Danio rerio: one gene and its partner. The protein of the gene in region 2 purifies or fractionates together with the protein of the main gene of each other region. This does not show direct contact. Links are inferred from orthologs where the notes say so. Each region holds a gene or a part of one and is shown on either strand. Other genes may lie near its edges.

Region 1 (11,824 bases), on a different chromosome or scaffold from region 2:
GTATGTACAAATAAATTTATATAATATATCTATCTATATATTCAAAATATCTTTGGCAATTTCTTTCAAATATATCCGATCAAACTGTTTTTTCCAGTACCTTCTAAATAAAATGTATGCATCATTCAAAAGACGGTATCTTTTTGTATGCTCTGCTTATAATTGAACATGCAGGTATTTTAAACTAACACACAGGTGCATGGCCACATGTCTTCAGAGGCAGACTCTCATGTAACAACTTATGGAAACCAGCCATATGACTGACTTTCATTCAATAAATAGAAGTGGGGAAAAGTGCATGTCTTAGAACTTTTGGATTTTTATTTTAGTTTGAAACAAATAAACAGACACATACCAACAGGGAACTTGTAATAAAGTTATGAATTAAGGTACTTCCAGTAACATTAATAAAACATTTGTTCAGAAATTAAGCAAAGGAAAACTAGGGGCACAACATACACAAAATATATGGTGAGCATGACAATAATCGAGTAAATTATTATCCAATATTTTATTATATATTATATTTTATTAAAAGTAACATTCACATAAAAAAGCAAATGTTTAAATTCTGATTCAAAATTTTTGGATAAATGATCCTCATATCTGAGATAAATGAAATATGCTAAAAACTTTGTTGGCCATTTAATGTGTTTGATGTTGAAATATTTAGCTTTATGGTATCAACATATTTGTACCCCTGCAGGAAGTTTTATGACCCCGCAGCTTTTTATTAATTCTGATGCACGCATTATCAGTCACATTGCTGCTTGGGTGTTTGTATATTATTTTTTCAGCTGAGGATGATATGCAGTAGTTGATAATTATGTGGAAGGAGATCTAATAGTAAAAAATATATATAAATTGTATTGTATAATCACTTTTACAATATTATTATATATTATATAATCACTTTAATATATATATATATATATATATATATATATATATATATATATATATATATATATATATATATATATATATATATATATATATATATATATCATATAATCACATTTCCTAAAAACTATGCAGAAACTCTTTGATTGACATTCTCCCTTTGTACGTACATGTCATCAGAGGTAAAAAGCCTTTTAAGAAAATTAGCTTGTTTCACTAACTGTCATTCCTACTTATTAGTGTGCACAGTAGAAGTCCACTATATGGAGAAATTTTATATATTTTTTATTTTGGAAAAGAACTAATACAATCAAGACAACAGCAATGTGTAAATACTTGAGAAGAATTTAAACTGAAAATCTGGGTTCTATTTACAATAAGGTCCCATTTGCTAATGCACTGTGATCTAACAAGGAATAACAATAAATAACTGCATTAACTAACATTAACAAACACTGAACGATTCATTTATCACAGTATTTATTCATCTTTTTAACATTAGTTTATGAAAATGCAGTCGTTCATTGTTTTTCCCTGTTAACTCACATTGTATTAACTAATGTTAACAAACACAACAGGATTTTAATAATGCATAAGTAAATATTGATAATTCAATATACTGTACTAAATTTTTCATCTTTAGATCATGTTAGCAAAATATATTAACTAACATGAACTAATTGAACCTTACTGTAAAATGTGACCAGAATCTAAACACTGTTCTGTTGTCTCATTAATGTCATGGTATTATTGTATTTTTAGTTATTCCAGTCTGCAGATCTCCAGGCTTTATGATACACAGTGACAGAGGAAAACTCTAATAAGTAATGGACACATCATGTTTAATAAACCAGCAGGGTCATGTCAGTCTGGCACATACCTAAAACCAACTGAAATGGGAAACCTCTGGTCTACCAACAGATGCTGTGAAGGCTGGGAATTCAAACAGCTTTGACCATCTGATGGGCCGACTATCTTATATAACTTTGATGAAAGGGTTAGACAGTCTTTATTCTGTCAAAAAGGCTCTAGTCTGATTATGTGCCAAGTCATTCCAGTTTCCGAACAGGCCTCTCTTCACTTCTTTCAGGTGGTAGACAACACCAGCAAGAAACTTCCTTTTGTTTCCCTTCTTCTTGGATTTGGACCATACTGTCAGTGAGCATCCGCGTCTCACCACCAAAGAGGATACATGGTTCTCCCAGGTCTTTGGCATGATGGGGGTGTCTTCATCAGGATACACATTCAGAAAACTGCCAGTGCAGCTCTCGTCATAGTAGTAGCTGCTGTGCTCAAACATCTGGGCACAGAGTTTGCTGCCATGGTCGTCTTTCAGTGTGGCATGATCAGGACATGCTGCATTGAGGCCCTCGAGGCACAGAGCCACCAGGAGAAGAGCAATCAGACCCCTCATGTTTTCAGTGTGGTGCATAAAATGACATCTCTCAGCCTTACTTATATAGATAAAGATCTACATATAGATGACGTATGTGAGAAACGTCAGGTTGTCCAGCAGCTTTCTGAAGGTCATTTTTCTGTTAAATAAGCTACTCCACACACTGTTAAAAACTGCAAATTATGTATTTATTATACTAAAATATTAGTTAAGTGCTAAGTATGTACAAATAACACAACAGGATTTTAATAATGCATAAGTAAATATTGATAATTCAATATACTGTACTAAATTTTTCATCTTTAGATCATGTTAGCAAAATATATTAACTAACATGAACTAATTGAACCTTACTGTAAAATGTGACCAGAATCTAAACACTGTTCTGTTGTCTCATTAATGTCATGGTATTATTGTATTTTTAGTTATTCCAGTCTGCAGATCTCCAGGCTTTATGATACACAGTGACAGAGGAAAACTCTAATAAGTAATGGACACATCATGTTTAATAAACCAGCAGGGTCATGTCAGTCTGGCACATACCTAAAACCAACTGAAATGGGAAACCTCTGGTCTACCAACAGATGCTGTGAAGGCTGGGAATTCAAACAGCTTTGACCATCTGATGGGCCGACTATCTTATATAACTTTGATGAAAGGGTTAGACAGTCTTTATTCTGTCAAAAAGGCTCTAGTCTGATTATGTGCCAAGTTGCTGTTTTTGCTAAGTTTATGCTGTTTTACTGCTTACAGGGTAATCTAGAAATTTAGAAATAAAAATTAGCTTGGAGTTATTACATGTTTTTAGTGTGTTTGTATGACTAACGTCTGATATCTTGACTTACACAATTTTATATTTAGTGTTCAATAACTATATATAGCAAATTTCTTTCTTGGGTTAAGAATTTATCAACCTGGGTCAGATGCAGTCATCAGACATGTACAGAGGTTGTTTTTCACATTGTTCTGTCATGTATGTGACATGTATGTGATGATAAAAATGTATCATAAGTAAGTAAAGAAAAGTTGGCAGATTTTATTCTTTTTTTTTGACATTTCATCACTTTGGATTTATAATGTTCTCTCTGAGAGCTCTTCACATTTTTCTATTCATTCATTCTTTCATTTTCTTGTCGGCTTAATATCTTTATTAATCCGGGGTCGCCACAGTGGAATGAACCGCGAACTTATACAGCAAGTTTTTATGCAGCAGATGCCCTTCCAGCCGCAACCCATCTCTGGGAAAATGTTTCTATTTTGTTACAACCTATTTACATTTTGTGATTTTGAGCGTGTGTGACTGTGTGTGTACATTTTTATTTACTAAACTTAATCTTATAAAACTTAAAATAAATATAATTTTGCCAAATAAAAGTTGCTAATGCTTCTCAAAAGCACTTAAAATGATAATTAAATTTAAAAAAAGCTATTTTGTGTAAAATACTTTTCAAGACGTTTGTGTAACATTTCTTGTAGAAAGATTGGTTCTTACTATAACATTATATTTAAGTAAATGCTGTTGATGCTTATTGTTTAATAAATGAAAATATCCCTTGCACACCACAGAAAACATCAGCCATGCAGGCAGTGCAATTTTTGGATGTACTGAACTCCACATCCTTTATTTATGCAGATCTTGTTGCGATTGGTATCTTTAGCACTTGTTTTTGGGTCGGACATTGTGTTTTCAGAGCTGCTAGTATCTAAGCTATTATCTTCATGTTTTCAGTCTCTTTAGGGATTATTGTCCTAGATTTGAATGCAAAGAGATAATCTGATCCATTATAAATCTTCATGTTGGACAACGTGCTCAGAAAGTTAGGAGATTCAACAGACTTCACTTTAATTCAGCAAGCCAGTTTTTTTTTTTTTTTTTACAGCGTAAAACCATTACAATTATGTGTGTGTATTTATAATATCTACTCATATTGTGTTAAATCTATTTTAGCTTTGTGCAGCAATGTGACAGTTTGGTCTAAAATATATTCAGAAAAGTAATTCTCTTAAAATAGACAGTATAAAACAATATGTGTGTGTTTGTAGTTTACAAACAATGTAACAAAAACATTTGTAACAAAAATATTCATAAAAGATATATATCATTTAAAATACATTTAAAATAGGCACGCTATTATTCTTGATTCTTCCCTAGCAAAATACGATCCTTGTTCATACACGATCCTTGTTAGATCCGTTATACCATATACAGTAGCTATATAAACATATACATTTACATTATATCACAATACATGCCAGGGAGCAAGAGAGAAATGTATCTTTTAAACATTTACAGTTTTTACAGCTTTCTTAATGGTCGATTCAGAAATTAAAGACATAAAACGATTTAGATCTTCAAGAAAAATCTGAAGAAAATAAAAACAGTTTACGCTTACAACGATTACATTTGTGTATAAAATATTTAGCCAAAAATATAATAGGATTAAATAAATACATCTGGAAGTTCATTCTGATGATTATATTCTAAAATAACGTTTCATATTTCAATAACATCGGTGATTATACCACAATACCCAATTCATGTTTACAAAATTCTTTTGGTAGATTCACAATTACAAAAAAGGTGAAACAGAACAGTTTGGTAACCGCAAAAGGAACCGTTTACATCAAAATCTTAAGAAATAAACCTTTGTAAAAATAAAAAGAAAGCTTTGTAGGATAGCACCTATGTATCATTTTATACTACACTTCATGAATTTTATTGTACTTACATTAGTAATCTCTGAGGTAAAAAGACTATACTCTTCCAGTTAATATTACCTATATTTTCCTTTCTAGTTTACAGTAACGTTAGTTGTGATGAAAAAGTCGCGCGCCCGTTGCCGGAAGTGGCGTCAATTCTGTTCTGTTTTGTTCCTGTCGTGGCGGGAATACGCGCTGCTGACGGGCAACATGGATGTTGAAATGAAAGAGACAGACAGTGAACAAACTCAAGCTGACGGACCGCCTAAAAAGGACGAAACTGCACCAAAACCCACAACGACTGCATATGAACTACCATGGTACGCTTTTGTGTGTGTTTTGTAGTATTTGGACGGGATTCATGTGGCTAAAGTTAGCACAGCAGCTGCAGCGGAATTGCTAAGCTCATGTCGAACATTAATTCTGGTGTAAATGCTATATTACTTGCAGGGTTGAAAAGTACAGACCTCTGAAGTTAAATGAAATAGTTGGAAATGAGGAAACTGTTAGCAGACTGGAGGTCAGTACTGTAACTTAAGTTACTGTGGTGAAAGTTTTGTGGAGGTGCTGACATGTTTCTTCATTTGTGTCGTTTTTGTCGCAGGTGTTTGCAAGAGAAGGAAATGTGCCCAACATCATCATTGCTGTAAGTAAACAATGCTGTCAGGTTGCAGTCTGATTGCACAAATGATTTGTCCTTGTGCATGTAAATAACAGTTGCATTTGTTTTCAGGGTCCTCCTGGAACTGGGAAAACCACCAGCATTTTGTGTTTGGCTAGAGCTCTGCTTGGCCCAGCCATGAAAGATGCTGTTCTTGAGCTGAATGCCTCAAATGACCGGTGAGAAACACACATAAACACCGAAGATAAAGAGATTGCACAAGTAATAGCACATACAAATTTTCCGTTTGAACCTATTATTAGAGGTTTGGTTCAGTGACTCACAATTCATAGAGGAGCCGGTTTAACATTTAAGCACAAATAATAAAGCGGAAACCTGAAGTAATTGATGCATTCTTCTCCAGAGTATCAAAGCTCCTTTTTGTTTCTTGTTGTACATATTGCAGTAGTTTAAATTGAAATGAAAATGAAAATGCTACAATTTTATAATAGGCATGGTAATAATAAATATTTTGTCCTAATCAATTGTTGCTTAACCAAAAGTTTAACAGAGCGTAAGACAGCAGAATGCATTTTGCGTAACTTTATTGACTTTACTGACTTTATAGACAAACTAAATTTGTCTATATTCACATTTACTTTTAACACGTTCAGTTCAGCCAACAGTTAGATTTTACTAATGTACATTTTTGTATACAAATTTCATTATGCATACGAGGAAAATCAATTAATGAGACTATTTGAGTCTATTATTATCAAGATGATCTTATTAATGATATTATTTACACCACCATCATAACATGTAAGCCATGAAGAGGTGTTTATACAACACGATACGGGTAGTATAAAACTGATTATAATCAAGTGATCCTAGAATATTTACAAAATAAAGCTTTAGTAAAAATAGAGCACTTGCGGACATGTTTTAACGTCCAAATCAGCCTCAGAAAAAATATGCATGCGCGTTACTCTCAACTGCACACTGAGAAAAAAACGAAAGTAGCCTGAATATATATTGCAGTACTTTTAATGTCCAGTACGTTGGACGTCAAAAATGCTGCAAATGGCCCGCAGGCCGGGAGTTTAAGACCCCTGTTCTACAAGCATACATAACTTCAATAAAGAAAAAAAAAAAAAACAGCATTGTATTGTTTACCGGGGAGTCAAACTCTATTCAGGTATGCAGTAATTGAGTAATCAAATGTAGAATGATACTGAATATTCTTCCTTTTATAAACAGTAATCAATAAAATTAATCTTTGTTAATTTGTCAAAGTTACAAACAGTACAGTTTCTTATTTTAAACCCTCACACAGTCACAGGGCTTAAAAAACACTTGCGAAATGATCAATTATAATCCAGACTCAACATAGACTATAGCCATGATGTGACTATTGCGATATTGATGCCGACACAATATATTGTGCAGCCCTAGATGAAGTGCAAGATCTCCCTCATCCTTCATGGACCACAACAATCTTGAAATGTTCATAGTCCAGAAATAAAACCCAAAACATTTCATGTGATGCCAGTAGTTCAACTGTATTCATACAAAGCCCAAACTCTTTTGTGCACCAAAAAAAAAAAAACTGTATAAAGCACTTTGTTGCCTATGTGTTCTGTGTCAAGTTTTGGTGCTTGTTTACTACAGGCAATACAAATGACTGTGTTGCACTGCTGATTCTAATTGCAATGCAGATGAGTGAGCTTATAGATTTCCTCTAAGATGAATGAAATGTGAATGGCAACTTTTCTGATCATAATTTTAGTCGTTTGGTACAAAACAGTGAAGTATGATTACCCCATTCTAGTCCATTTTCTCTCAACATGTTCTATAATTATCAAATTTGGTAAATAGGTAGTCTTTTGTGGCTATTTACACTATGAAAGCAATCTGCTCTAATGTGTTTTCGACTACCACTGTAAATAATCAAAAGTTTATTTAGTATTGAGCACAAGTTGACAAAAACACATTTTAAAAGCTGATGTAAACGACACTAAAATGTGAATCGATTTCACATATAATTTCTGTTCCTCAAAGGGGTCTTCTTTACCATTGCTGTTATAATGTCTGTTAATACATTTTTTTATTAATTATTTCAGTGGAATTGACGTTGTGAGAAACAAAATTAAGATGTTTGCCCAGCAAAAGGTCACACTTCCTAAAGGTCGTCACAAGATCATCATCTTGGATGAGGCTGACAGGTTAGACAGATTATTTTCTAACAATATTTCTATTATAACTGTTTATCTCAGTATTGCATGTATTACAAGTGCTTAATGTAAGTGTGTATTTATATTTCTAACAGTATGACAGATGGAGCTCAGCAAGCTCTCAGAAGAACAATGGAGATCTACTCCAAAACCACACGCTTTGCCCTGGCATGTAATGCATCAGATAAGATCATAGGTGAGAAACGTGACACAATACAGCTAAATTAGAAGTATGAACGTGTGTGAATTACTGGACCAGTCCCACTGCACTCCATCACAAACGTCGTTTTAAACATTTTGAAATGTCTAAAATGGTCTCATAATAATAAGTTGGTTAAAATGCCTCTCAAACTAACACATAAACTTGATTGTTGTTCTGCTTCTGAAAGCAAGATAACATAAATACCAGCGTTTGTTGTCTGGGCACTGAGGCGTTTATTATAAGGTGGAAAAGAACATGGCAGTTTTTCTAGATGCAAAAGCGTTGATTCAAAAAAAAAATCATATTGACCAGCTTCCCAGCATGTGATTTTTGTTGTATTAAAAACATGAGAAGAGGACTGCAATAATTCATTTTTGTCCATGATCTTTGATTCTCCATACTCCAGATGGTAAACAACACCCTGTTGCACACAAAATACTTAAAGAATTTCTTAGATTGACCAATTCAAGGCTTCTAAAATGTCTGAAGTTCATCAGATTATAACATGAAATGTAGCATATACAAAAAAAAGGGTTAATGTTTTTATTTTTCAAAATCGAAATATCTTTATATGATAGTATATACTGTTTCTTTAGAAGGTACAGTTTAAGATATTTCCATATTTTAATATTTTAGAGGAAATTTATTTATAAAATCTTTCATAAAAACAAGTAGATTTTTGTAAAGTGTGTCTTGTACAATCTGAGATGTCATTATATATGCCTATAAAAACTTGACTTTTTTTCTCTTGGTCTCTAAATTTATATTTACATTACACTGTGTTCATTGGGATAAACCCCTTGAGATGTGCCATTTTATTTTCAAGGGGGTCCCACAATTAATCACATAATAACATCAAAAGACAAAACATAACATAAAAAACAAGATAAAAGAAAGAAAGAAAAAAAAAGGGGGGGGGGTAGTATACATACATACATTTGTATATATACAAATTACAAAAATAATATACAAATCAGTGAATCCAATCACCACATAAATAATAACATCCTCAGGAAAAACAAGTACAATCCAAAGTAAAATATGAAAACAAGGTTTGCTTAAAGACCCTAAATGATGAAATGGATCGAATGTTACCAGGTAAATTGTTCCAATCTGTTGGACCCTTAAAATATTGTTGTAAATAATAAGGATTCTCAAAATGAATACATTTAAATATAAATTGAAGCCAATGAATATGTAAGTGAATATATATATATATATATATATATATATGAAATATGAAATTTACCCTTAAAAAACTTGCAGTAACCCTGAATAAAATACAGATAGCAGATTTTCATTTTGTCCTGTTATTCTGTCACAGAGCCCATCCAGTCGCGCTGTGCTGTGCTGCGATACAGCAAACTGCGAGACGAGCAGATCATGATGCGTCTGACGGAGGTGGTAGAGAAGGAAAACCTGCACGTCACCAACGACGGCCTGGAGGCCATCATCTTCACCGCTCAAGGAGACATGAGACAGGTCAGTCCAGTCAACAGAAAACACTCATAAAATAAATTCACAATATTTAGGTCAACTAAACACTAATGCGTTTGTTGTTAATTAAAAAAATAATAAAATAAAATGCAATTTTAACCACAAATGTAATATTCTTTAGCTTCATATTGTTAATGTTATTCTCCTCTAGGCTCTGAATAACCTACAGTCCACCAACTCTGGATTTGGATATATCAACAGTGAAAACGTGTTCAAGGTATTTTGGGCTGTTAGATTATTTTTCTCTAAAATCTTGCTTGCACTGTGGGATTTGGTTAGCCATGATTTGGTCGCCTGAGACAAATTTGGGAAATGTGTTTTTTTAATATTTGCACTTGAAATGAGACAGAGCAAAAATATTAGTACAAAATGTTTTTTTTTTTTTTTTGCATTGTAAATATTAAATTTCTGTACCTGAATGCTGTTTAGACTTCCCAAAAAACTTAAAAAAAAAAAAGCTATTCAAACCATCTTATGAAACTGTACTCCTATCGCAATATTTATTTTTAAGAAGAATAAAATATTGCAATATTAGATTTTTTCTTGCAGCCCTAATCTGTGCTCCTTGATCTTTGGTTTGATGTGTTCACCATCAGCCGTTTAATGACCACAGTATTCAAATTTTTCCTCTGATGAAGTTCTGGCAGTGTCAGAAAGTTTCAGACTCTTTCCTGCAGGGTGACTTCAGCTACAATGAGCATTAAACCAAAAACCAATAAAAGTGCTGAATATGATTAAGCAATCTGCACGACAAATGCTTGTAAATGTCCAGATTTTGTTTCTGGTTTTATCAATAAGCAACGATGTGAGCTAAATGACCACAACTGATTGTTTGCTGGGATAGTAAATGAGTCACAGATGAACAACTTCAAACTCCGGATGACATGGGTATTATTTTCGCACAGTCTGACAAGCTACAATCATATTATTAATAAGATTATTACAAATTGCGCCATGTGAGCCAGGCTTAACACACACACAAATATGTGTTAGTGAGGTGTAATGGTGTTGTTGTGTGTGCAGGTGTGTGACGAGCCACATCCTCTGCTGGTAAAAAGCATGCTAGAACATTGTGTTAATGCCAACATCGATGAAGCCTACAAGGTACCATTAAACATTCACTTTTGGAAATCATTCAACAATTATAAACACCGGATGAGAGAGATGATTCTCTCTGTGTGTTTCTGCAGATTATCGAGCAGCTTTGGTCTCTAGGATATTCACCAGAGGACATCATCGGAAACATCTTTAGAGTTTGCAAGACCTTTCAGATGGCAGAATATCTGAAGCTGGAATATATTAAGGTAACTTTCATTTGCTTTAACCATTGGGTCAATTTTAAAAAGTTGCACAGAGTAGCAAGTCAGAAATGATTATAAGTTAATTATATATTAATGTAATATTTAGTGATTTGACACAAATTTGTTTCATCAAATGACATAAATAACAAAAATTATTAAATGAAGATTTAAGCCTTCACACACTACCACTGATTTCATAATAAAAATCAAGAACTTAAAAAAAAAAAAAGTTTTTGTTCATTTAACACTCATTCACCCCTGAACTGTTTGTGCCCCATGGGTGGCATGTTTAATAATAAGTTAAAATAATAAGTCTTATTTTTATTTCTTTTAAAACTTAATTATATTGACACTGTATGTCATATGCATACACTTCTTGACAAAAATCTTGTCGTCGATCTGTTGCAAGAGCAACAAATAATAACTTGACTTCTAGTTGATCGTTTGGAAAAGTGTCAGCAGGTAGATTTTTCCCATCTGTTGAACTGCATCCCGATCATCACAAATACTGCAGAAGACATAATGGAACCTGCATGGACCCAAGATTCTCACAGAAATCAGTCAAGTTTGATGAAGAAAAAAAATCATGGTTTGGGGTTACATTCAGTATATGGGGTCTGGCGAGAGATCTGCAGAGTGGATGGCAACATTAACAGCCTGAGGTATCAAGACATTTGCGCTGCCCATTATATTACAAACCACAGGAGAAGGCAAATTCTTCAGCAGAACAGCGCTCCTTATCATACTTCAGCCTCCACATCAAAGTTTCTGAAAGCAAAGAAGTTGAAGGTGCTCCAGGATGGGCCAACTCAGTGACCAGATATGAGCATTATTGAGCATGTCTGGGGTAAGATGGAGGAGGCATTGAAGATAAATCCAAAGAATCTTGATGAACTCTGGGAGTCCTGCAAGATTATCTATTATGGATGTCAATGGTTGCTGGCTCCTAACATTCTTTAGATCATCTTCTTTCGTGTTCAATTGAAAACA
Region 2 (11,886 bases):
GAGTCGAGCTTCCAATCAAACGCTTTATGTAAAATCAACTACGCCCCCCGAACTTCTCAGCATGCGTTTGCTGTCATATCAACACAAATGGATGTAATAACGTTAACAAATATGAGGGTTTTATATATTCAATCGCGCCAGCTCCGGGCCGCAGCGCATAACTTACTCGCGGCGTCGCGGGCTGATTCCGGCTCGCATGCGGCAGCGCCTGCTCGCTCGGCCGCCGCATCTGGCTCGATTGACTCGGCTGGAATTGGGTAGTGAGTCCAGGCATCCGGAGTAGGTCCAGCAGAGGTAACGTTAGTCAGTCTGAGCTCTAAGAGATAAGTCTCCGGCAGGCGAGAATCTAGCCGGAACTGTGTTTTGCTATCTGGGTGGCTAGGCGTGTATCAGCAAACTAATAAAGCCCGAAAAAAGCCCTGAACTTAGCGAATAAACAGTGTTCCACCAGGATCATGTATGTCAGAAACTATAGTTTACTGCTGAACTCATGTTGTCATGGTAAAATAACACAGAAATCGAATAATAACATTTCAGTCTACTTCAGTCTCCTGCCGAAGCTCAGACGCCGCGCTTTGAGAAACTGTCAATCACAGCTGTCAATCACGATGACACGCCCAGCATTAAATTACTGCTAAAAACAAACTGTTTACAAAAATGAAGATCTGCACCTATTTCAGCACAATAACCAGTGCCTTAATCGACCAGAACTATCTTTCGGGACATTTTATTGCAAGTGTAATATTTTTTTTTATTTGGGCTCAAGTCTCCTTCATTAACACGGAGGAGGCGGGCTTTATGACTTGTACTGCAGCCAGCCCCCAGGGGGCGATCTAACGGCCGAAACCTTCACTCAAACGTAGGCTTGCGGCACACTTGATTTATACATGTAGACATGGTCAAGACGATCTGCTGCAAACAACCATCAGAATAGGGAAGAAAGGTGATTTAAGTGACTTTGAACTTTGAATGGTTGTTGGTGCCAGGTTGGAGGAGAATGACCAGAGAATGGCCAAATAATCATTGCTGTTAAAATCGAGGTATGCAGAAGAGCATCTCTGAATGCAAACACATCGAACCTTGAGGGGAATGGGCAACAGCTGCAGAAGACCACACTGGTTGCCACTCCTGTCAGCTAAGAACAGGAAACTGAGGCTACAATTAGCACAGGCACCCCAAATTAAGAAGAAGATTGGAGAAACGTTGCCTGGTCTGATGAGTCTCGATTTCTGCTGTGACATTCAGATGGTAGGGTCAGAATTTGGTGTCAACAACATGAAACCATGGATCCATCCTGCCATGTATCAATGTGGGGGGTTATTTTCTTGGCACACTTTGGGCCCATTGGTACTAATAGAGCATCGTGTCAACACCACAGCCTACCTGAGTATTGTTGCTGACCATGTCCATGCCTTTATGACCACAGTGTACCCATCTTCTGATGGCTACTTCCAGCAGAATAATGCACCATGTCATTAAGCACGAATCTCAGACTGGTTTCTTAAATATAACAATAAGTTAACTGTACTTAAATGGCTCCACAGTGATCAGATCTCAATCCAATAGAGCACCTTTGAGATGTGGTGGAACGGGAGATTCGCATCATGAATGAGCAGCTGGCAAATCTGCAGCAACTATGTGATGCTACCATGTCAATATGGAGCAAAATCTCAGAGGAATATTTCCAGTACCTTATTGAATCTATGCCTTGAAAGACAAAAGCAGTTCTGAAGGTAAAAGGGGTCCAACCCGGTACTAGTAAGGTGTATCTAAAAACGTGGCTGGTAAGTGTATATGCATAAAATGTAATATAGATAAGCTTTAGAATCGGTAGATAAAGAGTTGAATCTCTTTAAATTCAGGATTTTGAATCTTTTAATATGTGAGTGAATCACATTGACTGCAAAAGTGAATCACAGTATCAAAAATGAGGTATTTTCAAAGCAAACGTGACATTTACGTATTTGTTGGTGCTTTCACACTGGTGGGTTTTCTATATCAGAGTCTAAATCAGCAGTCCCATAGGATGTAATGAAGACTCCTGTCATTCCACACTCAGTCGCAGTCATCAAACTATGCCTTTGTTGCCCCATCAGTAAAAATTACATAGCCAAATACCAAAAATATTTACATACCAAAATAATTAGTTTATGAAATTTGGTATATAAACTTACTATATAAAATAAAAAAAGCTACACCGTGTTGATATGCTATATTGCTACTATAGAACTCCTACTAAAAAACTAAAATACCTCCAATTGTTTTGTGTACATAGCTGCAGTGACTTTACTGCAACTTTACTTGAACTCATTTGTGAGCTGTGCACATTGTTTACATACATGTTGCTGCTATGCTGACATTTTTGACACACCCACCAAAGACAATGTGTTTCAAATCCTGCTGGTTGGCTGTTTGCTACTGATGTCAGGCCTTCGTATCCACACTCTCCATAAACTTAGGGCCAGTTTTAATTCTGCACCTTAGCCCTTCCGCTTACTACCCGTCACATACATGTGAATGTACCAGTGTGTACCAGCCCTAAGGACTGGTAAAGTATGACTGTTTGTTAAAAAAAGCACTAATCTGGCAGTAAATACTAAGCTCAGAATTGATTTAAGAGAGAATCAAAACGCAATCAGAAAGACAAAGAATTGATGCAGAATCATTTCTCGATTTGCAATGCATTGATTTGTTGTCCCAGCCCCAATTTTAAGCAAGCAAACACAAACAATTTTCATTCTCTGTACTCACTGCCTTCCTCTTAGTGCTGCTACTGGCCACCATTTTCTTCTCCGACCTCTGAACACTTGAACTCCCAAAAAAAGCCATTACTGATGTGGGCATCTGTTTTGGTGGGGTTGGTGCCACCTTAGGGGAAATGGTGGGTTGAGAACTCTTCACCCCTCCCTTCACCGTGCTGGGGGATTTGACTGGGGATTTGCTGGAGGAGACTTTCACTTGTTTTGCTTTTCCTGAATCTGATTCCTTCTTGCCTTTAGCCGTTCCATTCTCTTTAGGTTTGGGCTTTTTCAGAGTCTCAAATGTTCCATCCGAATCTGAACAAATATACAGAGAGAGGGAAAATTATTATGCGGAGGTATAATATAATGCTGAAAACCAACTGATATTGCAGGATGAAATTTATTTGATGACTTCCTCACCAGAATCAGACACATAAGTTACTGGGTGTTTCTTCTCTGTGGGGATAGTAGAAGTCTCTTTAGTGCTCTTTTTGGTCTTCACCTTCTTCTCTTCTTCAGAGTCTAATATAAGATGAGAGAGGAGAACATCTGAATGTCTCAGGCAGGTTTTTATTTTTAGATGCCAAATAGGATGACTTAATGCACAGGACCATAAAGGTTCAAGATACTTGCGAACTTTTTGGAAATTTTAACAGATTTGTGTGTTTTGAACATCAGTTAAGACAATGTTAGCACTTGTCAACTTTAATTGTGGAAAAACCTGGATAATTTTGAGCTTTTGTCAACTAATTTCATCTTCCGGGTTTAAAATTACTTTTTGGGCGGGATCAAAATCGGTGATGTAGCGCGAATATGCTAGTGGAGTGATGATGCGTCAGTTTTTCATTATTATTATTATTCATAGCAGAGCTTTCTGATCCTGTGAAAAGACCCTGCTTATTAATTATTCATGAGAGCACATGTTTTCCGAAGGCTAGATAGACCTGCCAAACTGTGAGATCCAATGAGTGGGTGAGATCAAGTCCGCGTACGGAAAGCAGGTTTATTGGTTTGTTGCTTGTTGTTGTTGCTTGTTTTTCACTGCAATGCTGTTAGGGCCAATACAGCAAAGCTGTTGGTTTGCAGCAAGAATTTTAGTTGGGAGAGCTGTACAAAAATTGGAGAATGGTAGACTTTGTCTTTTATCAGTTGAGTTCATTACCATTCAGATACATCCCCTATAACCATGCTGCTGTGTTCGCTTATTTTTAAAATTCTCCAGATTATCGGCAGGGTTAATGGTTGAAAAAGATAGGGCAAGAGACCTGCTGCACTGCTCCATGTCTGCATTCAGACCCGGGGATTCAGGAGAGAAGTCCTCCTCAATTATAGTGTTTATATAAACAATTATTATCTTTATAATGATATAACAAATTGTGGTTATGTGTATATGAAATTACGAATAACAAATGTAGCACGGCATTAAATTACTGCTTATTACTTTGCATTTTAACTTTGCAACCTATAAAATCACGCGTCTCCTCACAGTTTGTGTATCATTTTGTGAGCCAACTGACAAAAGTTGTTCGCTTCCCTCTTTCTCCCCCTGCTCTGACGGCCACGCCCACTCCTCCCTCTTCTCACGGCGCTCCACACCCATTATGAAGCATTTTTTATTTATTCTGAGGTAGACTCAAACCGAAAGAGGGGGGTTTCGTGGCCCTTTAAGTCATATTCTTCAATCATTAAAACCTTATAAAAAGTTGTTTTAAATGGAACTCTAATCTAAATAAAAATTTCAGGTTTAACTTTTTAAATATTATTTATCTTTACTTTATCAAAACATTTTTACAGAGCATCTTTATGGTCTCTTGATGGACCCTATTTTAAAAGCCCCATTTTATTCTATTCTACTCTTCTTCTGTCTGAACTAATTTATTGTATGTACACAACAGAATCCATATCTTAACAAGCCTGATTATCAATGTTTAATCAACTCTGAATATGAACCTGAATCAACTATAACTCTTTTCTTTCTTTTCCCGCTGGGTTTCTCATCAGATGTGGAGCTTTTGACCTAAAGAAAGAAAGAAAGAGAGACTCTATGACACGGCACGATGCACACAACATCAGCATGCAAATGAATGTTGTTCACATGTCATTTTACCTTAGGTCTTGATTTTTGTTTCTTCTTCTGCTCTTCATCAGTACTTGTGCTTGTGCTTCCATTTGAAGCTTTCTGGGCCACAGGCTTGGTGGACGTAAAAAACCTCCGGATGTCCTGAAATGAGCATTGCTGAATAAGAGACTTGCGAACATGTGTACACACAAACAAACAAACAAACAAACATACATATACATACATACCATACACACAGGCAAGCCCAAAATTATTCATACACTAGTGCAGTTTTCTTCAAATGTAAATAAGAGGTGAGAAACATTTGTTTACAGAATGATGTCTCTCGATGTGCATCGTCTTAAGGTCCCTTGAAAAACTTGCTAAGTCAGAATTTGCCAGAGGTATGAATAATTTCGGGCTTTACTATATAAACACACAGTTTATTCTTTATTTTATTTTATTTTTTACTTTAAAATTACATAAGCTACAAAACGTGCAGAGCAGAGCAAGTAGCATAGTAACCGCATGGATGAATTTGTTGTTGACTGTTTACATTTCAAAGTCGACAATAACAAACAGGAAGCAGGTGGTAAAGCACAAACACCTGTAGTTAACTTATATATGAAAAACTGAAGCTCATATTGACTGTGTGCTGTTGACAAAGACAGTTGATCTTGATCATTAAGTTATTCACACTTTTTATGTTTCTCAACCATGGCGTAAACAACCAAGGCTTAAAAACAAACGACGCAAACACGGACTCCAAAATTCATAAATAGCCTATGTATGATTTATTATTTTTGTAGCCTAAGTTAATCTGCTAATTAACAAGTAACGTTAAAGGCTGCAAGTTCGAGCTGCTTTTATTTTAGCTTGATCAGCTACACCGACCTCGTCTCTGATTGTGTCTTTACTTCTACAGACAGTGCATTAATTAAGCGACTCACCATTGCTAATCATATGTCTAAATATTTTCTTTATTTTTGAACAAGCTGCGGGCAGGTATTGCTTCTCCAATCCTCTTTGGCGCCAATGATAATCAACAGGGAGGCGCAGTGTGATGACGCGCAGATGGAGAGCGAGAGAGAGAGAGGGAGGGAGACAAACGCACGCAGCAGATGCAGAGACAGCGAACATGCTAATCTTTCCTTCCTTCCTTCTTAAAACTGCACATAGTAAAATTTAATTTTAAAATAAATATTTTAAAGTTGGTGAAATGAAACTACCCCGCCAACTGTGAATTGTGAGAAATCATTGATCAATGTTACAAACTGAATCACAATATGTAATTAATTCTTTATCATATAAATGTTTGTTTTTTCAGGACCTGTAGTAATTCTTCAAATGTTTTCGCAGCAGATGACCAAATACACGCTTTAAAAAAACTTTTAAAAGTTTTTGCGCTTTCCTAAATATCCTGCAGTGATGCCTTTATTTGGGTTATGCGGATGTTCCATGCACAGATGTAAGACTTTATACAACTATTTGTTAAGATTATTGGGCAACTTAATACTATGGAAAATTTATTTGAATGCAATCATCTCCACGATATTATATATATATCAACACTGGTTAAGATGGCAACACAATGCATTAAAAGCAGAAATGCGAAGATGTAAATCAGATAATTGAGGTAAATAAATTGCAATTCTAGGAAAAAGTAAAAGTATTAACCTCTGACTACCTTTAACTTTTTGAAAGCAAATCCTACTACTGATCTTCATGCTCTGTGAATCATTTAGTACGATTTGAAAAAGGGCCAAATACACAAAAAGCAAAACACCTGCCATGTGGACGTTTACATGTTCAGGACAGACCACACACAGCTTTCAAATCCTTAAAAACTGCTCTTAGAATTCTTTTGATTACACAGAACCTTATTTTTGTTTTTTGGATATTTGCAATTCAATGACGACATGCTTTCATCATTTCTTTTTGTGCTTTACTTTGTAAATTCTACTGAGCCGAGGGCAGGCTGCGTTCATTCTAAAATGTTAATTCATTAGATTGTGTATTGTTTTATATACAAGAAACTAAAACATACTTTTACATCTGGACCAAAAAACAGTGAATACAAAAGAATGCGATCAAGTTTTTCCAATACACGTAGCTCATATTCTACTACATGCACATTAACCCTCATTAACTAAAGACTTTCATGAAACTAGACAGTATCAACATGAATGAAACTCCTGCACACATATATGATTGAAAAATGGAGTTGGTCTTTATTGACAGATTTTACAGAGACTAATTTAGTCCTCTTGCTGTTCCACCACTGTGCCCTTCTCGCTGACATAAATCCCATCCAGGAACTTCCGGATGTCCTTCTTCCTCACAGTGGTGGCCTGCTGGATCAGAGCAGCTGATGGACAGAAGAAAAGACAACTCATTAGAGACAGACCTGTTTTAAATAGAAAGGCGGTGCACCCACAAACTCCCATGTGCTACAAAATAGACATGTAACATGCAAACCAAGCCAGTGGTTAGAGCTGTGGACTCAAAAGCCTTGTTAAGTGTTGTCATGCTTGGATGAATGTGAACATGCAAAAGAGGGACACAAAATCCTGTAAAGTTAGTGTAAAAAAAGCTACTTGGCTTGTAAGAGACAGACAACTCAGTCTGAAAATGGCATGAATTGAAATTTGGCACTATCAAAAAAAGATTGGACATATTTAACAGAGCATGGAAGACAACACAACGGACAGCTTCAAAGACGAGAAGCAGGAAAGAGGCGAATGAAAGGCGATGGGCAGCAGTGGCTCCTGTCACCCTGTACGGCGGTCTCGTTCTAACCTCTCGGTTCTCTATGACTCTGCCTCCACTACAGTGCCTTTTTCAGAGACGTAAATACCGTCCAGGAACTTTCTGATATCCTTATTTTTCACTGTGGTTGCCTGCTGGATGAGGGCCGCTGAAACAAGAAATGCTAGGGAGGTGAGGCATGCACACACTTCAATAATTCCACACTTCCTCTCACACACATCTTGCATACAAAGAGTCACAAACACAGTCTTTTCTATCACTCATGTTATGTAATCAAGGGTTAAGGATGTCAGGAGAGGGAAAAAGGAGGCTATAAACGTTCACAGAAGATTAAACACCACATCAGGACCTGCAGGTAAGAGCAAATAAAACAAAGGGATTCATACTGTATGAAGGGGAACAGTCTAGGTTTAGAGTTACACATCTGCACAATCCAGTAAAAAAGAAGAGCCATGTAAAATGTAATTATTAAACATTTAAAATAAAAAAAATGGTTTAGATTGTTTATCCAAACTAGTTTTTACTTTACTTTTTAATGTATAAAATGCTGGATAAGCCACTTTTGGAATTTAGGAAAAAGCACAAAATCTGATCTAATATTGGAATTAAACAAAACAGTAACAAAAAGATAACTAGGAGAAACCCTTTGTTTGGCACAACCACTTTCATTTCATCACAGCAACAGCGAAAGGGTTTCAGCCAGAAAGCATTTATATTCAAAGATGTCTGCTAAATTATTATTTTAAGTAACATTTAAGTATAACAAATCAATATAGTATCTAACTGAATTTGGAATTGGGACCGTATAAAGATAAAGCTGGTCAAAAAAATCATAATAAATGTATAAAATATATAAAAATTTATATAGGCCTTTAGAACTAGAATAACAGGGAAATTCTACTCTCACCATCCCATTTCAATTCATAAAGCAGTGAATATTTCAGGTTTTTGTCATATATTGACAGACCACATCGTAAATAGATGCTCACCTGAGTTTGACACCAGCTCAATATCATTACCCTCCAGAACCAACTCGTCTTTTTGAGCGGCAGACACTGCACATGCAACTCCTACACAACAAAAAGTAAACATCGGTTTTATGAAGTCAAATTTCATACAGAGCAGGACTACACAAATTATGCTAAAACATTAGGCTAATTCAGACAACATGCAGACTCACCTTGCCTCATGCGGACACGGCGGATGTACTTCTCTCCCAAGAAGTTTCTGATCTCCACCAGAGAGCCAGACTCTTGGATGACCACATTAATGGGAAAATGGGCATATACAGATCGCATTTTGTACCTGAAACCCTGGGAAACAAAAGATGCATTTTATGGCAGTCCTTATTTATTTAATATGATTGGGAAAAAATTAGAGCACCAACACATTACACTCCTTACCAGGGTGACACCCTTGATCATGTTCTGGACATGACTGCAGATGGTGCGGACGGTGGCCAACTCCTTTCGGTTACCCCACCACTTATCCACACGCAGCTGAAATGAAAAAAATAATGTAAAAATAAAAATTAGCTGATATAACAAACTTATGCTCCCTTCCAAACAACCTGAAATTAGGACTTTTATTTCTTCGAAATCACATCTGATACTGCTTTAAGTCATATTTCAACCTGTCAACTCATTTGAACACCCCAGAGACACCATCATTAAATCACTTCACAGACGGCAGCTAGATCAACTGCAGTGAGATTACTGTGGAGCTACCTTATGTGAAACTCAAAAGTATTTTACTAGCACAAAGTGTGGAAACCCTACTAAAGGCTATTTCTAAGATAGTCAAAAGCACAAGACACATCACGCATTTTCTGTTCATTTCATCTGTGTTATAAAACATTATTCACACCACACATGGTGAATATGCAACAGTGACGTGTAACTAGCTAGAACCCACTGAGGTCAAAAATCAAACATTTCAATGCAGAATTGATCAGATTTGTGTCTGAAACAGCATAATATGATGGCCTCTATTTACAACAAGTACTAACATGCATGACAGGGTATATGCAAATGGCCTTTTTATTTTCAGCATCCTGGGTCAATTGATTTCGGTGAACTGTATGCAGTGACAAAATCTGCGCAAAGTCTGTTTTCTTAAAAAAACAACAATCTCCACTGCCTGATTTGCTATACGATAAAAAGTAGGTCTCAGGACGTGCAAGAGGCACTGCATCAAATGATGTTTTACCACATCATGTCTTTAAAATATAAAAAATGATTTCCCCCCAGTATTTTCAATGGAGTTTCTGCAGTCGTCTGCTGATCCTGACAGCATGTGCGTGTAAATGGCATTTCATTTGTTTTACATGAAAAAAATAAATGCATAAGTCTAGTTAATTGATTATATTTTAATTACATTGTAACATAAATGTTGTAAAAGGAATCCTACAAAATTGAAAAGTCCATTAACTGGAGGTTTATCTGTATGGGAAGAAATACTAGCTGTGAATTTACCCTACTAAACAGCCACAAAGCATTACTCGCTAATTTTGAACAAGTGTTGGTACATTTTACACCACTTTTACATAGAGTTAATTATAGCACAAACTACTGAAAGAGCAAACCTATGCCAAGCGGCTGTGGAAAGCAACTACAATATTTGTACAATATTTTACGCACATTATGCTACTTTTCCACTGAGTGATACAGTACAGCTTGGTTTCGCTAGGCTCGACTTCCACTGCCATTTAGTAGCACTTAAAGAGGTGGGATCATAGCTATAGCTGTGCCCTCTCTACTGCTTAATGTTTTCATTCCAAGTCATCCCATTTAGCTCCTAAGCTACAAACAAGAGAAATCTCTGGAACTTTTCTACTGACCCCAATGCTGCCATTTCAGGTGTCTACTTTTTGCAGTGGATAAAAACTATTTAGTTATGCCACCCAACAATACAGCATTGGCCGCTGCTGACCATTTCATTATAGTGGCTTTTAAGTCTCTTGTCACAAATCCAATAACATTAGAAGTGCCAATTTTCTCAGAACCATCAGTGATCAGCAGTGTGTATACGAACACTACATTTTGCTAATGTTACAACTGGTTTGGAAGATTACCTAAAGTGGCAGTAAAACAAAGCACCAGGTACAGAAGTTCGTGGAAAAAGCACTACATCGACCTTATTAAGCTTGCAGGCAGAGTGGGAGGAAATGTTTAAACTTAATTTCATATTCTTGAAATTGAACTTGCAAAACATCCAAAATATAAAAGACATTAACACTGAGAAATGTCAAATTGCACTCAAAAAGGTTTTGTACTTAGTTTAGTTGCATTATGCAAAGTAGATAGACATTTTATGTATAATAATTCAATAGACATTTTATTTGGAATGAATTTGACTGGACCAGCTCAGATGTTTAACGTACATGAAGGCTTTATAAGTCATTAATAAATGCATTGTTGCATTTTAACAACTCCAGCAAGAATGATACACAATGCAGTTTCAGGCCCATATATCAAAACTAAGCTACAAACCTTTTTCTGTTTCTTGCCCAACAGACTGAGTTCCAGGTTAATGTGGTTGAACTCCCGGCGGAGAACACCACGGGGTCCCTTCACGGTAACTGTGCGGCCCTTGAGGGACACCGTGACTGCAAGCAAAGAAACGAAATTGATGTTGCTTTAGACACAAACGTGTAAATAGTTTCAAACGTTAAGTATGATATTTGACGTACCATTGTCAGGGATGTCCACTGTCTGGTTACTGAGAATGGTCTTCATTCTGAAACGATAGAGCAACGTTAGAAACCCTTAAATGATTCGAGCAGATACTACGTGCTACTACGTTAGCCAAGACAAACTTCTCGAGTCGCCTCAATAGCACAATTTTTAGCCTTGAATTGAATTTTAATTATACGCGAAAATTTCAAGTATATAAAGAAAAGTATGGCTTGACATGAACGTGCTTAATGAATGACTTGAAATTGCTACGGCCTTTGAGTGCCGCTGACAGATAAACACAGACCGGGCTGTCTATTATCAAAGACCATCGGGTTTTCTCTCATCAATACATCCACGAATATATATATAAGTGTGTAAGCTATTTCATGAGGTACCAGGGAAACCTAACAGGCTTCATAATAACGCAGATTGAACTTGATTCAAATGCACAAGAACAGGATTCGCCATGTTCTTACCTCGCCGATTAAGGGGGAAAGGAAGGAGGAAGAACGTCATGACGTAAATGTAACCAGTACGTTTTGCGTCACCGCAAATCTTTAAGGCACGACCAAGCGATTGCAGATAATGAAAGAAACAAAGTTATTGATGTGAACTTTCTTAAATTGTATTACATCGCAAT

Evidence for each region.
Region 1: the proteins of rfc1 (region 2) and rfc2 fractionate together in Homo sapiens (co-fractionation; 5 studies listed by BioGRID and IntAct, with this or other methods). This does not show direct contact. The link is inferred for Danio rerio from reciprocal best matches to the Homo sapiens genes RFC1 and RFC2.

The regions. Positions count from the first base shown.
Region 1 is NC_133196.1:26,654,197-26,666,020, reverse strand, and holds the start of rfc2 (replication factor C subunit 2), read left to right. Parts: upstream 1-5,146; 5' UTR 5,147-5,209; coding exon 5,210-5,319; intron 5,320-5,449; coding exon 5,450-5,519; intron 5,520-5,603; coding exon 5,604-5,645; intron 5,646-5,732; coding exon 5,733-5,839; intron 5,840-7,723; coding exon 7,724-7,825; intron 7,826-7,929; coding exon 7,930-8,030; intron 8,031-9,360; coding exon 9,361-9,518; intron 9,519-9,684; coding exon 9,685-9,750; intron 9,751-10,556; coding exon 10,557-10,637; intron 10,638-10,723; coding exon 10,724-10,837; intron 10,838-11,824. Other genes in the region: syncollin, read right to left, coding at 1,913-2,317.
Region 2 is NC_133176.1:24,837,746-24,849,631, forward strand, and holds the start of rfc1 (replication factor C subunit 1), read right to left. Parts: upstream 5,848-11,886; 5' UTR 5,754-5,847; coding exon of another isoform or gene 5,751-5,753; 5' UTR 5,052-5,750; coding exon 5,049-5,051; intron 4,963-5,048; coding exon 4,849-4,962; intron 4,759-4,848; coding exon 4,692-4,758; intron 3,264-4,691; coding exon 3,162-3,263; intron 3,057-3,161; coding exon 2,752-3,056; intron 1-2,751. Other genes in the region: rpl9 (large ribosomal subunit protein uL6), read right to left, coding at 7,059-7,168, 8,559-8,639, 8,750-8,882, 8,973-9,068, 11,061-11,176, 11,261-11,306. UniProt on the Homo sapiens protein: Subunit of the replication factor C (RFC) complex which acts during elongation of primed DNA templates by DNA polymerases delta and epsilon, and is necessary for ATP-dependent loading of proliferating cell nuclear antigen (PCNA) onto primed DNA.